Linked DNA regions of Arabidopsis thaliana. The protein of the gene in region 2 interacts with the protein of the main gene of each other region in a biochemical or structural test. Each region holds a gene or a part of one and is shown on either strand. Other genes may lie near its edges.

Evidence for each region. The genes of interacting proteins can lie anywhere in the genome.
Region 1: the proteins of MYC3 (region 2) and JAZ3 form a complex in vitro, tested with the Arabidopsis thaliana proteins (2 studies listed by BioGRID).

What each region holds. Positions count from the first base shown.
Region 1 is NC_003074.8:6,116,951-6,125,868, reverse strand, and holds JAZ3 (jasmonate-zim-domain protein 3), read right to left. Parts: upstream 6,163-8,918; 5' UTR 5,902-6,162; coding exon 5,817-5,901; exon of another isoform or gene 4,787-5,816; coding exon of another isoform or gene 4,741-4,786; coding exon 4,541-4,740; intron 4,281-4,540; coding exon 4,066-4,280; intron 3,991-4,065; coding exon 3,900-3,990; intron 3,819-3,899; coding exon 3,515-3,818; intron 3,418-3,514; coding exon 3,357-3,417; intron 3,281-3,356; coding exon 3,178-3,280; 3' UTR 2,825-3,177; downstream 1-2,824. Other genes in the region: TDX (tetraticopeptide domain-containing thioredoxin), read right to left, coding at 1-90, 546-576, 780-893, 980-1,120, 1,280-1,344, 1,428-1,508, 1,585-1,672, 1,768-1,908 and 2 more. UniProt on the Arabidopsis thaliana protein: Repressor of jasmonate responses. Jasmonoyl-isoleucine (JA-Ile) specifically promotes COI1-TIFY6B/JAZ3 interaction. Acts as a negative regulator of MYC2 function. Feed-back regulated by MYC2.
Region 2 is NC_003076.8:18,971,010-18,979,267, reverse strand, and holds MYC3 (Basic helix-loop-helix (bHLH) DNA-binding family protein), read right to left. Parts: upstream 5,247-8,258; 5' UTR 5,038-5,246; coding exon 3,259-5,037; 3' UTR 2,678-3,258; downstream 1-2,677. Other genes in the region: AT5G46780 (VQ motif-containing protein), read right to left, coding at 1-32; AT5G46770 (uncharacterized protein), read right to left, coding at 1,373-1,774; AGD9 (ARF-GAP domain 9), read left to right, coding at 7,451-7,519, 7,620-7,738, 7,945-8,258. UniProt on the Arabidopsis thaliana protein: Transcription factor involved in tryptophan, jasmonic acid (JA) and other stress-responsive gene regulation. With MYC2 and MYC4, controls additively subsets of JA-dependent responses.

The DNA.
Region 1 (8,918 bases), on a different chromosome or scaffold from region 2:
TGAAGTAAAGGATGAGCAGACGTGATGCCTTCTTAGCAGCCTTTGTCTTTGCTTCTAGCTCGCTTGTTGAGTGGATGCTAATCACTTCTCCTGTATCATCAGGGAGAAAAGATGATCATTTCCTTTTTGACATGCAAATTTCATTTTAAGTTTTATAAAAGCTGTAAATGAAGCTTTGTGAGAATAACTGGGATCTACGATACATGCAAGAAACAGAAAGCTAGTGAGGCGTCAATACACCATGAGTTTCCACTAAACTATCCCCTAAATTAGTTTTTGTTGGGAGGTTACGGTTCTGGTCTGGATTAGCAGAATTTCTCAGGTAAGTGAATGCAAATGAGACTGCATGCGGGATAAGCATGCTGGTTAGTGGCCTTATCAACTGGATTTAGTGGCTAACAAGAGCATATTGAGCTTTGCTTCTTATTGAGTGAAGACAATTCATTGGGGCAAGACTCACAGATAAATGTTCCAACACATAATTAGTTCTTTGCAAAAATATCATGAAGTAGAAAACCGTTGAAAGAAATGGATAAAATGTTTACCGTCATTGAGTGCAGCCTGAGCTTCTCGCTCCTGCATTGATAGGATTCACGAGCAAGAAGCAAATCAATGAGCGTGAGATGTTTGATATGATATGATATTGATAATATCAGAAGAGGTTATATTTTAACTCTCACAGGGAGAAGATAATCAGGCCTATGTGATTTCTGCTAAGAAGATAATCAAAAGAATGTAACTCTACACAACATTTAATTATGGGTATGAGTCGGTCTGACCTGGGCTTCTTGCTGTTTCCGTCTCTCGCGTTCAGCCCTTTGGAGCTCCTTTTCTTTCCTCAGGCGTTGGTATTTCCTGCGGTGTTCTTCGATTCTCTTTGCATTGGGTTCAACCTGGGAAGTACACATTTTCAGCATATATATTTGGTACTGTAAAACTCAAGGACCATACAGTGATATCAAGAGGTTTCCGCAATTACCTTCTTAAGCATTGTCCCTATCTCCTCATCGTAATCTAATTTTGATGCGACATGTAGATCAGCTGCAGCCTCTTCCCATTGGCCTAACATGGCCTTAGCCATACCTCGTGATTTGTACCCCTTAGCTGAATCAGAGTTGAACTAAACCCCAAAATAAACTAGTTTAGCTTGTTTATGGAAGAAAACCATTGAGATATAAAATCACTCTCCCAAGCCATAAAACTATTGAGACATAAACTTGTTTTACCAAATCCATTTTCAGCACAAACAAAACAAGTTTATGTCAAGAGAAATGATCACCTGTAACGCTACGTTGGCATCACGAATTGCAGCATTTGGCTTCTTAACTTTTAAAAACACACTAGCTGCAGGACAACAATCACAAATATTGAGTATTATCACCCACATTCAGCCGAAAAGGGAGAGTGAACTAGTAAAAGAAAGTTACCTCTAGTGGCGTAGAGAATCGCTGAAGTAGGATTTAGCATGACAGCTTTTGTTAGATGCTCTATAGCTTCGTCAAACCTCCCTGTATACCAATCAAGCATTAAGGAGAAATCTTATGAAGTAGATAATCAAAACCAATTTCAACGGTAGTTATGTACCATCAGAGATTGCCTCCATAGCTTTGCTCTTCTCTGACTGAGCATCATCCCTATTTTCATCGGTCACTTCAGCAGTAGGGTCTCCCATCTAAGACAAGAAAGTAAAATCATCCAATCAGGTAAAAAAATGCATAGAGACACAAGCACCACATAATATCCAAAGATGATAACTTCAACACCTACCGGCTGAGGAGGCTCATTGTCTGGTTCAACTACATCAGAGTTGTCGAGTTCAACATCAGACTCCATAATATCATCATCATCATCATCATGTTTAGGAGAGAAACTGGGTTTTGTCTCAGCCTTATCTTCATAATCTCTTTCCTGCAATTTATAGTTAACTATTCGATCAACATTTAGATAGTGTTGAAGCCTAGAAAAGGGTTTTGTACATCAATTCAACACAAAGATATTAAGAACTCAATCCCAAGTAGCACAAACAAGAGAAACCTAAACATCGATAATTCATAAGAAAGACAACTTACAGTTTTCTCAATCTTCGGAACTTGAGCTCCTAAACTGTACACGATAAGACGGGAACGAGCATCGATTACAAAGAAACTCACAGCTCCATGGAAAAATTCAACTGACAAATGAAATTCACCGAAAGAAAGATAAGTCAGAGAAGAATGAATCACCTTCGGAGATATTCTTTGAAGAAAACCAGACTAGGATCGTGGAGAATCGAAGGATTCAATTTCAACTGCTCGACGAATCTTCTCAGCTCAGCTACTTGAATCGCATCCACCATCGAATTCCGCCTTTTTCTTCTTCTTTCTATGAAAAGCTTAGAAATCAGTGAATCCTTGTGATCGTACGGAGCTGTGTCTGCTCGTATTGGTTTTGATTAGACTGAAAAACGTTGAAATAATCATCGCCGAAAACCGAACATGTCCAACCGGTTTTGTCTTCGCGTTAACTTAACCGCGACTGAATTCATATCCGGTTTATCATCTTTTGCAACATCCCTTTTCGTTGTGCAATAAGACATTGGGCCTTGATGGGCTACAACACAAAATGGCCCACATATTGAAATTAGGATGTTACAAAGAAACTCACAGCCAAAACGAAGACCGAAAAATAATTAGCCAAAACGAATTAAAGCAAATTCTAAAAGATGTTCCATTTTCTCCATATATAATGATGACTTCTTTTGTGAATTCGAGTTGGTAACTGGTAATGTATCAAGCTTATTGTTAACCAGAGTACAAATTAGCAAATCCTATTAAAAAAATCCCCATATTTGAATAGAAAATTGATTAGAGAAATAACTTAGGGAAACAGAAGCGATGCAATTCCATTACATGAATTATACATATGCGAGCTTCAGTGATATATACAAAAGAACAGAGTTAAAAAAAAAGAAACAAACAGTTTCTACTAATTTTCCCAAGTACATATCTGATATGCTCTCATAAGTTCCATTCCACCAAAAAACATGTAAACAAAGTATACACTATCGTATATATAAAGCTAAGGAGAAACTCAGTGTGGCGAGTGAGGAAAAATTAACTGAGACATTGAAAAGACCGCCATTGAAATGCAAATATGGATGTGGAGTGGTCTAAAGCAACCTTCTTACTGTAGATGAAATTAGGTTGCAGAGCTGAGAGAAGAACTAATGCATTCAGACATTGATCTGCGACAATCTGTCGATGACTTCTTGTCTAAGCAATATGGGGATACGCTCGTGACCCTGAGAAACCCACAGCGAGAAAGAGAGTTAGCCCAAGAAACTATTGAATGGTGTATTCTAAAGAAGTGTTGCGTACCTTTCTTTGCGTTTCTCTAAAAACCTAGCCAGGGATGCTTTGCGAGCCAGAGGTAATGCCACTGCATAAGAAACAGAACGAGAATGAAGTTACATCCATGAAAATACTAGTAAGTTAGATGGCGAATGTAGTATCAGGTCTCTGACTTTGTTTTTTACCTGTTGGAGCCATTACATTGGTAGAACAAGAAACTGGTACTGGGCAGTTAATATTGGATCCATTAGCTTGGTTGTTGTGATATGTTGACGTCAAGCCTCTTGTCGCTTTTGTGGCTCCGAGTCCGTTTGTGCTACTTCCAGCTTCAGGGCTAAGATAAGATATTGTAGGCATGAAGCTAGGAGGCATAGCTGAAGAATCGACAGAGGCACGAGTATGATGGACCACTTGTTGATGAGTTTGAGGCGGCGAAAAGACTTGAGGCATAGAGGAACCGTTCCCAGCTAGCAACATTATCGCCTTTGCCTGAGAAATGAAAGAAAGCAAATGAGTACCATACCTTACGAGTAAAAGAGATGCATATATGGAAGAAAATGATTGAGATACCTTTTCAGGAGATATGTCATCGTAAACACAAACTGAACCGGCATAAAAGATCGTCAACTGCGCAGGTGAACCTATTGGCTTGGAAGAAGATCTGACAAAAATAAGTCTTTAGTCAACTATGAAAATGTAGAAAGAGTTTCTGTATGATATGATGACTAGTGGGTACCTAATATCAGTAGTCCCTACAATGGAACCTGGAGGAGGAAGGATTGAAATTGGAGGTGCCATGATAGGAACTCCTACCAAAGGTTGTGAGTTATTGTTATTGTTCATGAAGCTTCTTCCTCCTGGTGCATAATGATGAGACTGGAAACCCGGCATCGACATGGAAACTGCGTTAGTTTCTTCGTGTTGATTGGAATTAGGGAACATCCTCACTCCCTGAGAGTAACAAGCCATAAAGTAGGTGTGAGGCATTGTATGAACTAACTTATCAAAAATGAGAAGCTTAGCTTACACTTAAAATGAATCAGTATTAAACCAAGATTAGATCCACAAACTAATTGCCATGAACTTGTGCTAAACTAGACTCAAAACCAATTACTATATGCTCATAAAACAGGGCTCACTTTTAAAGCTATCTTGCGAAGGATAAAAAAAACACAAGGGTCTTGGTTAACATAGGTTTTGATGACAAATACCTGTACAGAACTGTAAGGAGCTTTGCGGGTTGAATCATAAACATCAGCTACTGATGATGGCATGAAGGAACCAGAGTGAGGAAGATGATAATTTCCAGACTTTCTATGTCTATCTTCTTGAGTTGGCCTGAAGGATAGAAACTGAGAAGAAGAAGCTGATACTTTGTTTGAGAAAGACCAGTTCATTCCTCTGTTGGGAGCTACAAAAGAAAAAGAATAAAAGATAATCAGTTTAAAGTCAAACATGTAGTGTTAACTGTTAACCATAAATGTCTCGAGATCTCCTTACATAAACAACAGAGGATTAATTCAACACCTACTTCAAGGAAAAGATTAGTAACCAACAATGTAGAATCTGATACTGTTGACAAATTCAACGAGGGAAAACCACTTTCGAAAACCGTGTCTAATTCTAAAACATTTGATTGAAAGTCATTGTACGAAACTCCAATAATTTAAGTTTGTTTTAATAGTTTAAATTAAAGAGAGATTCAAACTTTAACCCCACCACACCACACCACATGTTGATGCACTACTTTTATGGTGTGGCACGTTTTGGCTGATAAGAAAACAAAGTTGAAATAATTATATTCCTCGTGGTGAGAAAACTATTATTTCCACATTGTACCTTGAACAATATTCTAACGCAAGTTCCGCTTAATCAACACACAACACAAATACACAATCAATATTTTAATAATCTCATAAACTAATCCAACTCACACAATCAAGAAGTTAATCATCTTATAAACTAATCCAACTCACTCTTTTGAGTATATTTAATCTTTCTACCTACTACCAACCGTCTCTATTTTATCATTTTTGTATCAGTCTCTATACATCCCCTCTTTTCCAACATTTTACGTATTCGTTTTTTTTTTAGTATAAACTAATAAAGTATTTCTCAATTATAAGACTCTTCAAACAAAACAAAAAAATTTACTCTAGTAAAAAAAAGTTTACCGAGTTTAATTATGTTAGAAGCTTGAGATTAGTTCTCGTTAATTTCTCCGACCGAAAGCATGTTTAAGACAAGGCTTTGGAAAAGAACACTAGTTTTTCCAAATCCAAATTCTACATCTCCCGAGAAAAGCAAAGGACAATGTTCTGCTCCAAGCAACAAACTGACAATTCCAGTTCCCGAGCAAGCCATAAAATCAGCTATCCAAAAACAAATTCCATACTACAAGTAGTCCTAATAACTCCTAATCAATCAAACAAATCTACGATTTAAAAACAATCAGAATCAGAAAAATTGAGAAGAGTAATAAATAACCTGAATCTCTAGAGCTTTCGCTGGTTTCCTCCTTGACAGTGATCGGAGAATTTTTCGAACCCAACCCGAGAAAATCTCTCTCCATCTATAATAAAGACACAGCCCGCTACAAAATTAATTCGATCTCAAATGTCTGTTTCGATTAAAACGCGTGTTAAACGCCGGAATCAAGCTAAATAGAGCTTCGCCGGAAAAAGGAAAAAAAACAGAGACTTTTGAGGGAGAAAATGAAAAAACGTGGAATGAAGTTAATTCACCGCAATTTCTAGTTTTATTAACAAATCGCATGCGACATGTGAATCGTACCATTAATTTATAACTATAACAAGAAAAAAAAGATTCTTTTTTCTCATATCCTATTGGCGCAAAAACCAGCTACAGGTTGTCCCGGTTACGTCACCGGATATAGTCGGTTAAAAAGGCACGTGCATCGTCGTGCAGTGTGTGGCGTTTCTTTTTGTGGTGAGACGCGTGGCGAGGCACGTGCGCTATTTTAACGTGAATGATTCACGAGATGCGAAGCGGCAGTTTTAATTTATTTTTTTATTCAATGACAACACTTTTTTTTGTCGGCTGACGCGCTAAGTGTAGCGCGTGAGTCTAACCCCCTTTTTGTCTCACCGCTCAATCTAAAATAGTAAAATTAGTTACACTACTTTCGTGCACGTTCTCTTGACCAAGATAAACATTTGCACGTTGCATTTTTTTGGCAAAATATATTAATTTGTATTTTAGTACTATATTTTTAATCTTTGATTAATCGGATGGTACTATAAAGTAATTGTAAAGATTAGACTTTCATAAAATGATTTAAATACAACAAAATAATTGTTGCGGAAATTTAGTTCCACAACTAAACATTATTAAGCTAAATCTAAATCCTCATGTGATTATGTCATCACTCTAATATTATTTTTTTTAATCCAATTTTTAATTATTTTTTCTGTCATTGTACTTTTATTAATATTTTTCGCGAATTATTAAAGAATGTTGCTTGTTGCTTAAACTATACTTGTATTAATTAAGGTAATTATTGGTACCAAAAAGAAAATATTACTTTAATGTACATATTACTAAAATCACTCGTTGACATCGTTTTTGTGTATTTATAAGATGCATGTGGTCCGGGGGAGGAAATTACGCCATTTCGTGCGTCACTTTCTTCTTAATTTAGTAAAAACTAATACTATACTAAATTTACTAATGTTTTAAAACATATCTAATTATCTCACAAATATAATAATAAAGTTTTCATTTTTTTATGAAAATGAATATTTAAAATTCAAATCTATAGAAAAAATGGAAAGGAGTCAATGATCACAACAACTTGACGATCTCTAAACAAAAAAAAAATTGACGATCATCTCCCACGATAACATCGTTATTTCGAGTCTGGGGGATATGCAGCACACGTCATTTTCTCCAGCCTAGAATTTAGATATTAATATCACATTATTAAGAAAATACTACACTGCAGTTTATTATATACACAACATTCCATATAGATAATAGATCAGATCAGATCAAAAGTGGACCTACAAAGCGAAGATTATATCAAAAGATGCCATAAACGCATCTCTCACGCTATGATCCACATAAAACATCCGAAATTTAATTCTGTTTTTACATCCGACATTTAATTCTTGTTTTCTGTTTTTACATCATTTAATTCTGGTTACCACGACATTTTTTTTGTTTTAATGGTATTAGACTCTATATAGACATACAAAACTCAAAACAAAAGATTCAATGATCACCCCCTACCAAAAAAAGAACAGATTAAATGATCACGAGTTGGCTTAACAACGAAAACTTTTCTCCAACCAAAACCAAACTTAACTATTCTAAATCAAACTCAACAGCAACAGCAACGTCTGTTTACAACAACAACTTAAATAATTTTGTATTAAAATCGAATGAGAGTAAATAATGGCAAAGAGAAAATCAAATGACATATGTATATGCATGATATATAGCGCAGCATTTAACTATATTTAGACTGACTTGAGTAGTTGCAATATTTGGCTCTCTTTTTTTTGAGTTTGGTGCTTTAGTGGATCCTTTGATGGCTCATCCTGCTTCTCGTCGACGTCGAGCCAGATCCAGAGAAGAGCCTCCCTACTTAATGATCTGGTCATTTCTCACCTGTTAATACTTACATTTTAGTTTTTATTTTGATATAGACTTATTTGCTAGTAATTATGGACATCCAGAAGCAATTAGTCTTTCGTGGGCTCTTGACATCGTATGCCGACTTGTTTGCCTAATTTCGACCCTTGTTTACGGCGCCTTCACCGTTTACGCCTCCGCAATAATTTACGATGGAGGTGTACGTATAAAGCTGAGAAGATTCAGGGGCCAAAATGTATCTCCACGTCTTGGAATTTCATGGAAGTTAGAGAGGGCTGTGCATGGTGGAGAAGAACAAGGGGAGTTTAGGGAAAGACGAAGAAGAAGTTTCCCCAATCTGTCTAGAAGATGTCACCATAGGTTTTGGTTATGTTAGGCTAAGAGATTACATGCACAAATTCCACCGTGATTGCATTGCTAAATAGCTTTTGAAGAGTGCACGTTATCCTATATGTCGTGCTTTTGCAAAATTATAAACAATTACCTTTGCCTTCGATTATCTATATAGAGCTGCTAATTATTGTTTTAGACTTTTTCGTGGAATTGAGCTACGACATAATTTGTTTTTTTCCGAGTTCTGACAATCCAATATCGCAGCGATGGAAGTCTTTTGATAGTAATGACAAAAACACCATGTTGATCAAAAATCACATGCAAGAATACAATAGTACACTCATGATGCATACCATTATAGTAATTTATTTCGTCATAAAAAAATTTGGATTCAATCTATTCGATAATTGAAAAGCAGAAAGTAATGTTATTAATTGAGATATAGACGTAACGTGAACACATCATTTAATATTTAGCTAGCAAAATTACTGAAAAATAAATAAAAAATAGTTACAAAACTGTTGATCTGAAAATAAAGAGAAGTAGATCGAACTCATCTTGAACCATCTTTATCTCTTGTGACTTGTATGATCGTTTTGCCTGACTCTTCTCCCTTGACATGTCCATTACTAATATAAA
Region 2 (8,258 bases):
TTATCATTACCACGATTACTCTGATCATCCATTATTAAAACTGAAACAAACAAACAAAACAGAGCAAATCCAAATCTTGGGAAGAAAATATTAGAGAAACCACAAAGACTTAAACCACAAGAAGATTTAAACCAAGAACCTCTCTAAAACAAGTAAAATCAAGGGTTTTATAACAAACCCTTTTAACGAGAAAGAGAACTTACGCGTTTTCTGAATTTGACTGGAAAAATGAAGATTGGAAAAGAAGAAACAAGAGAAGAAGAACAAAACAAGAGGCTTTAAAAAAGAAACTTTGACTTTTTGTCTCTCTTTTTCTCTCCATTAAGTTGTTAAATCTTAATTTAAAACTAGTTTCTGATAACTATTCGATTTTTTACTAGATACAACCAACAAGTGGATTAAAATTAGGAATTTAGGATACATACGTAAACAAGTTGAGGATTAGTGTTTATAATATGACTAAAGACTAAAGTTGATTATTTAGGAGTCGTATTTTTTATACCATGGTTTTACTACGATTGATCAGACTAAAGTTGATTATACAAGTGTTGATAATCTAATAGATCGTCGAAAAATTGTAGAACTGTTACATCTCTTATCGTTAAACTAGCGATGTGAAATAGCTGAGAATATTGTTTTAGTAACGTTGATATTACTTTATGATTGGTGTGATTGTTAAAACCGTATATCTTGTATTGCAATGGTATAGTTTGTACTATATAGCGATATGCCGATATGGATAACGATTAAAGAAACGAAGCTATACCACAAAAGTATATGTCATGACGATTCGAAACAAAATCTGCCATGTCAATTGTGTATTAATTATTTCGAAATTACGCAGTGCGAAAGTAGGCCCAATTGTAATGATGATTTACTTAACTTTTAAGTCGAGTCATAATACTCTTAGAGAATTAGAGATAAGTTTTCTTGTTTCTCTTATGATTGATTTTTTGTTGCTTTGTTGGTTACTAATAATTTTCTGAAAGATAGCAAAAGCTTTACTGCTTATGCAATTTGGCTATTTAGATGGAATAGTATACCACCAATAAGGATGATCTCTCGTGTTACGCAAGAAACTCGAAAACAGATATGAAAACGATTTTAGAAAAGAAACAAAACACTTTAATGAAATTACGTTTTCATTCAAAGACAAAAAAGAAACATAAAAACAAATATTCAAAGAGAACAAAACGTGACAAGTAATAAATCAATGGAAACGTTTTGTCGTCCAAATAATACTATTATACATCTCACATATTCTATCACGATTATATAATCACGAATCTGGATTTGAAACTATATGTAATCAGCTTTATCCTCTCACATTTATATAAAATCTCAGAATCATGATCAATCATTGATCATATATTCATATGTTAATCTTCCTTTTTTCTTCTATTAATCCTTGATCTCTCAAATTCTCAAAACTCCAATTCCTTCGGACTCCAGTGCTCCTTACGAGCTTTGGTTGTTCCGGCCGGGTTGGTACATTGCTAGGGCTAGAACCAACAGGACCACTTAGCCTAACGTGATGAATCTTTTTCACCTTCTTCATCTTATGCGCTAAAGACGATCCTGGCCGTCCAATCTTCTCATAGATCCTAGGACTCAAATTCCCTGACCAATTTCTCCCACCAATAGGATTTACACAACATGTTTTACCTAGAACATTGTTAATCTCGACCCTTGGTGGTCCAGGACCGGAGAGATCAACATCTTTGTTGGAATCTGTTCGTGGAAGGGCTTGACATGATAGACAATTTAGGCTCATGGCTTTTTTGCGATCTCCTTACGACAATGGAGATCAATAATGAGCGAGAGAGAGACAAGGAAGAAGAAAGAGAGACTATATGGTTTTATTTAGTTAGTAATATGTTTCTTGTTTTATTTTAGTAAAAGACTAACGAGAACTAATCTAATTTTAGTGAAAAGTGTATATTTGTAAATTCGATTTTGGGTAACACACACGTTGCATGTGTAAGTAGGGATATCGCCTCACACGTTAATTAACAACTATAACCTTCATAGAAATGAGAGAGTTTTCTGTCTTTGGTCGTTGGTTATAATCAAAGACAAATTTTGTAAGAATTAACAATAGTTGTTGTCATATATATTTTCATTACAAAATTATAGTGTGAACGAATGAGTGAACAACTATTTAATATACATATACCTAAGATAGATGAAAGATGGCTATAATTTTCTAACATCCTTTAAAGAGGAGGGGTCAACTTTATGGTACTACATGAAAAGTATTTTTCAATTTATTATGAAAACTTAAGTTGGTGGTTTTTAATTAGAACTCATCAATGGTGGAGAAAAGTAGCTTATTGGCAACTTTCATTGTTGATTATGCAGTAAATGTTCTTCATGTTTGCAGAAAATCAAATGCCTTCACATTTTGGTTTAAACAAAAATTTGAGACTAAACCTACTAGCAAATTTTCGGATTTAAATTCAAATTGTGATACTACAAACTCAGTTCCAAAAAGAATATTCGGAAAATCTTGATTTTTGCGGTATATATGTTACTAAACTACTTAAAGACTAGTCGTTACTAATGTACACAAGACTATAAGAATTAAGAAACATAGGTAGATCACACGGCTCTCTAAACATAGAGATATACTCAAACTCACACATAAGATAAGATAAGATAGGCACTAAAAGACTTCCTACTCATTACTTAAAACTAACAAATCTTTGGTTTAACTTTTAGTTTCTTTTACAAACAAATCACACATGTCTCCACATTTTTGGCATTATAAACAGTTTCCTCATACCCCCTTACAAAGATAAGAGCACTATCTCTAGGCAAAACCCATTTACAACCACTTATTTTCCTCAGCTTTTTGGTACACTACAGTTCATAAATTTGGACCTTTATGTACACTACAAAGTTACAAACTAACAAAAAAATTCAATCATAGAATAAAAAAACTTCAATAGAATTTAGGATCTCACTTAATCTTACTCCATACATATATATACATACAAGTACAACCAAAGATTTTATTATTTCGCTAACTCTCTCTGGTCTTCTAGTCTCCAACTTCCTTCTCACTTAAGGCTTATGATAACACTAAGCTAAGAACTAAGCAAGTTCTCCTAATGAACAACAACATTTAACAACATGAAGCGAGTGATGCAAAATGAGTACTTACTACTTTACAAAAGACCATACATTACCCGCTAAATTCGATCCCATTTCATCGATGAAAACACTAGTTTCCCCTCTTTGATATGCCAACTTTGTTCAATAGTTTTCTCCGACTTTCGTCATCAAAGCAACTTTGAGCTGGTCATGATTGAAAAATTGGCTCCCCATCTTCACCGTAGCTTGTTGAATCATCAAATCATTCACAACGGATAAACTCGCATGATTCACTTCCAAATCCAATTCCTTAAGTGCTTCCATGAACCTAGCACCGGGATGATCTTTCTTGCCGCATTGTACACGTATCATCACATCCCAACCTATGATCTTAACATCAATCTCCATTTCTATAGAACTCGCCGTAGAATCTTGATTCGAACTTTTCCGTTCTTTTGCCCTTGACCCGCAACCTTTCCCATTATTCCCTTCCTTACTCATCCCATCTAGCTTCTTCTGAATCTCCTCTTTATCAGACTCCGCTTGCTGCAGCTTCGACTTAAGCTCATTGATATACGAAATCGCGTCTCCGAGAAGCGAAGCTTTATCCATCTTCGAAACGTTAGGAACAACAGCTCTCAAAGAGTAGAATCTCTGGTTTAACTTCTCTCTTCTCTGCCTCTCTGCTTCAACATGATTCAACGGCTCTTCTCTCCCATTCGCCGGTTTCCTCCCCCGTTTCCTCGGCTTCTTCTCCGGTGGCTCAACAACAATCGCTTCCTTAACAACAGATGCTTCAAGATCAGAATGATCCGAATCATTCGCAGCTGATCTAACCACAGTACTAAACGAAAGCATCCCTTCATCATTATTACTCCCTTTAGATACCGAAGTTCTCTTCTTACTACTCTCATTACCACAGAAACTCAAAGTCTCATTAGATTTCAACAACCCACCTTGAAAGGTCAAATCTTTCTCGACAAGACACGAACTTTGACGATTCTGATTCTCTACAGAGCTAATATCATTCTTCTCAAGCTTAGAAATTTGATGAGAATCAGACTTAGAATTAGAATTCGAGTTATTACCATTATTAACCCTCGCCGGAGATTCGATTCCGGTGTTCGTCGGTTCACTAATCCACAAAGCTGGATCATTCTCTCCTTGATCTGGATTCAGATTAAAACCCCACGAAGAAGCTTCAACACCATTGTTTCCACCACCGTTGTTGAAATTAAACAAGTTGTTAACTTTATGCATCAGATCTGAGCTTTGACTTATAACCTCCGACGAACCAAGCTCAACGACGCCGTTTTGAGTCGCGATACACACCATCGTCTTTAACCCGTAAATCTGACCTTGACCCGCTCTTTCACAACCCGACCCGGTTAAAGCACCAGACCCGGATAACCAAATCACACGAGAGTTTAAGAAAGATTCTCCGGGGAGACCAACACCGTTAACGAAGCTTTGAGTCATCGAAACTAAGAAGAACCATTCAGTATCTGTTACTTCTTCATCGTTTGATTCATCGGAAACCCCAATTCCGCCGGAGATTAACGAGTTAAGCTCACGTATTACTCTTTTCCGATGCTCTTGCTCCGCCGTGTTGGTGTTGTTCTTCTTCTTCTCTTTATCTTCCTCTCCTTTGTAGTAACCATCTCCCCAGCCGAGGATCACTGTGTTATCTCCGGTGGATGAATCGAAGTCGTGTGAGATCTGCCAGAAGATAGCGTAAGTCCAGTTTTCTCCGGCGGATTCTATTAAAGCTTGGAGACGTTGTTGAAGAGTATCTTCGTTGAACTGAGGCTGAGGTGGTTGTTGTGGTGGTGGAGGAAAGAGAGATGAGTGGTGGTTTGTTCCAATGAAAGCTTCCATAGCCGCCGCCGACGCGTCATCGTCGGAGGTCAAGAAGTTGATTGATGATGTTGTGCCGTTCATGTGAACATACGCCGGTTGAAAAGGTGATATTTTCCGGTGAAAGGTGAAGACTTTTTTCCGGTGAGAAGAAGAGAGAGGTGACGTGTAGGGAGGAAAAATCAAAAGAGGGAAAAAGCTAAGCAAATGGCGTTTAGTGATTGTTTGGAGAAGATGATTCTCTCTACAATACTATATTTTATTTTTATTGTTTTTCTAAAACAATTGTAAATAATTTTTTCTTATTTTCTTAAGTTTTTGTTGAGAGTTGCGACATATTATATGACAAAAACCAAACGATAATAATTTGGTTAACTGTTACGAAAACGTAAATAAATTATTCATGGAGTGATAATTCTCGTTTGGACACTGTTTTGTCTGAAACATAACTTAGATCCGTTTATTATCACATAGCCACTTATTGTTTTATGGAGAAAAAACTAATAAATAATCCATTTATGGTGATATAGTGACTTAGAGTTTCGAATATGGACCAATGCTATAATTCAAAATTTCATAAGTTAGAAATCTAAAATATAAATTTTATTTTTCATATAAATTAATATTTTAAACTGCAAAAAAGAATTGCATTTTTAAAAGGAAAAAAATAGATTCTACTCAATTTATATCAATTAAGTTAGGAATTTAAAATAATATTTCAACTGATTTTATGTTAGTTATAGGAAAATAAATATATATGAAAAAACTAAAAGTGTTTTCTTTCTCCAATCATCTTTTTTTTTTAAATATCATTTCATTATGTTCATTTTATTAAAAATCAGTTTGAACCGTTAATATGAAATTTACGTTTTCAAATAATTATCCGGTGTAAATTTTTTTTTGGTGTAATGGTTAACTAAATATCCATTAATACTTCATCACACCATATATGAAGTTTGATTTTCATAGATTACAAATTATTGAAGATTAATGGAAACGATTTCTATCTAGAGATTTTAGTGTGGTGCATAGAACCGTATGTCGTAGTACAGTACCATCTGTCAAACTGTAAAATTGTACAAGCATCGATGTAAAACTATCGGTTGTGGAGTTGACTACGAAAACCATAAAAAGAAAACTCAAAAAATGATTTGCTAGTCCTAAAAATTATTTGTAATATATATTCAAATAATAATGTATCCAACAACATAGCAACTTCCGTTCAATTTTTGAAAGAGGAAGAAATTAACGTATAAAATTTGTATTTTCTCTATAAAATTCATATTCGAATTTATTTTTTCTTAGACATTTTAAATTGTTTTTTTCTTTTTTTAAATATTGGAATTATGTTGTGTAGCCCACTTTAATTGTTTGGGTCCTCTGTCTAGGCATCGTCTGTCTGCTTTCCATGTTTCTGTCACCATAATTGACATATCTATTTATTAACAATCTTCATATTTTTGTCACGGTATACTGTAAGTTTTCTTTAACCACATTTTTTTCATCAAATTTTTTATCGTTTGGCTAAAACTATAATGACCAACCAAAGTATATAATTTTTTAAAACGTTACATATGATTTTTTTGTCAAAGTTACACATGATTATTGACAAAGAACTACACATGATAATGCCAACCATTACTTATAAACAAAATATCCAGAAAAAAAAAGAAAGAAGAAGAAAAGTAGTCAGTGAAAAGGACAACATGTACAATAATATTCAATGGTTAATCACGATGGCTAAAATGATCCAGCTCACGTGATTCTCGTGGATGATGTAATTACAAAACGACTTTAGACCCACTAATCGTACACTAACATATGATTATTGACATTACATAATAAAATATCTCTACTTCTTGCCAGTTTTCTTACAAGACATTGATAAACATGTTACATGTCACAGAAACATTGTATCAAGTAAAAAGTTTTACTTTATCAAAAAAGAAAGAAAGTAAAAGGTTCGAGAGGAATTAGTGAAGATAACCTAATTTAATACCTTAATGTACTTCCATAACAAGTCGATTTTTTGGATTTAACAATTATTTTGGTTTTCAATTTTTCACAATTCTGTCTTCATCTTTCAAGCGATCCTCTTTGCGCTAATAACAAGATGGAGAAAATCATGATAAAATTTAGCGATGAGGTTTTATCCTTTTTCATTTTCTGTTTTATGGTTAAGTTTTGTGATTAAAGAATTAGAAGTTTTTTACAGGATTTAGACTATGGTTAGAGTTTACATTTGATTTAGAATTGTGTGACTTTCATATAAAAATAATGACATCTACGAAATTACGAAATACAAATATGGGCTTATTCATTATTGGGCCATACAAGCCCATCGAGTTTAGTATTGATCCTCTAATCAAAAAACGTAAACAAATAAGATAACAGAAAAACAAAAACAAAAATTTCTGCTTTGAAGAAGAAGAGTCGATCCATAATCGCCACTTTCAGATTTCCAGATTCTGGGGAAACATCTCTAAACTCTTCAACGATGGCGACTGAGAATCTCACCGATAAGAATGTTGTTTTCAGAAAGCTGAAATCAAAATCCGAGAACAAGGTTAGGGTTACTCAATTTTCGATTTTGAATTTCGTTCAGATCTGGAGCTTATACGACCTAAATCTTCCGAATTGATTTATGATTTTGCTTCGGTTTTTAGGTTTGCTTTGATTGTAGTGCGAAGAATCCAACATGGGCTTCTGTTCCTTATGGGATCTTCCTATGCATCGATTGTTCTGCTGTTCATCGAAGTCTAGGTGTTCATATCAGCTTCGTCAGGTAAAACTTTGAATCTTGAGGAACACAAATTTGAACTCTTTAGGCTTAATTTTTAGCTTCATGGACTTGTAGCAATGTTTCACCTTCTGGCTAGGGTTTAAGCTGTGATTAGGAAGATGTTGACTTATTTTTTCCTGTTGACCACTCTATTTATAGCATTTCATGTTGTTGTAGATCTATTATAAGATCATATTGTTTTTGTGCAGGTCAACGAACTTAGACTCGTGGAGTCCTGAGCAGCTAAGAACAATGATGTTTGGAGGGAACAATCGAGCTCAGGTGTTTTTTAAGCAACATGGATGGAATGATGGTGGTAAGATTGAGGCTAAGTATACTTCAAGAGCTGCTGATATGTATAGACAGACTCTTGCTAAAGAAGTTGCTAAAGCCATGGCTGAAGAAACTGTTTTACCGTCGTTATCCTCTGTTGCTACTTCTCAGCCAGTGGAATCATCTGAAAATGGGTTTACTTCTGAATCTCCGAAAGAGAGTTCTTTGAAGCAAGAAGCAGCTGTTGTCT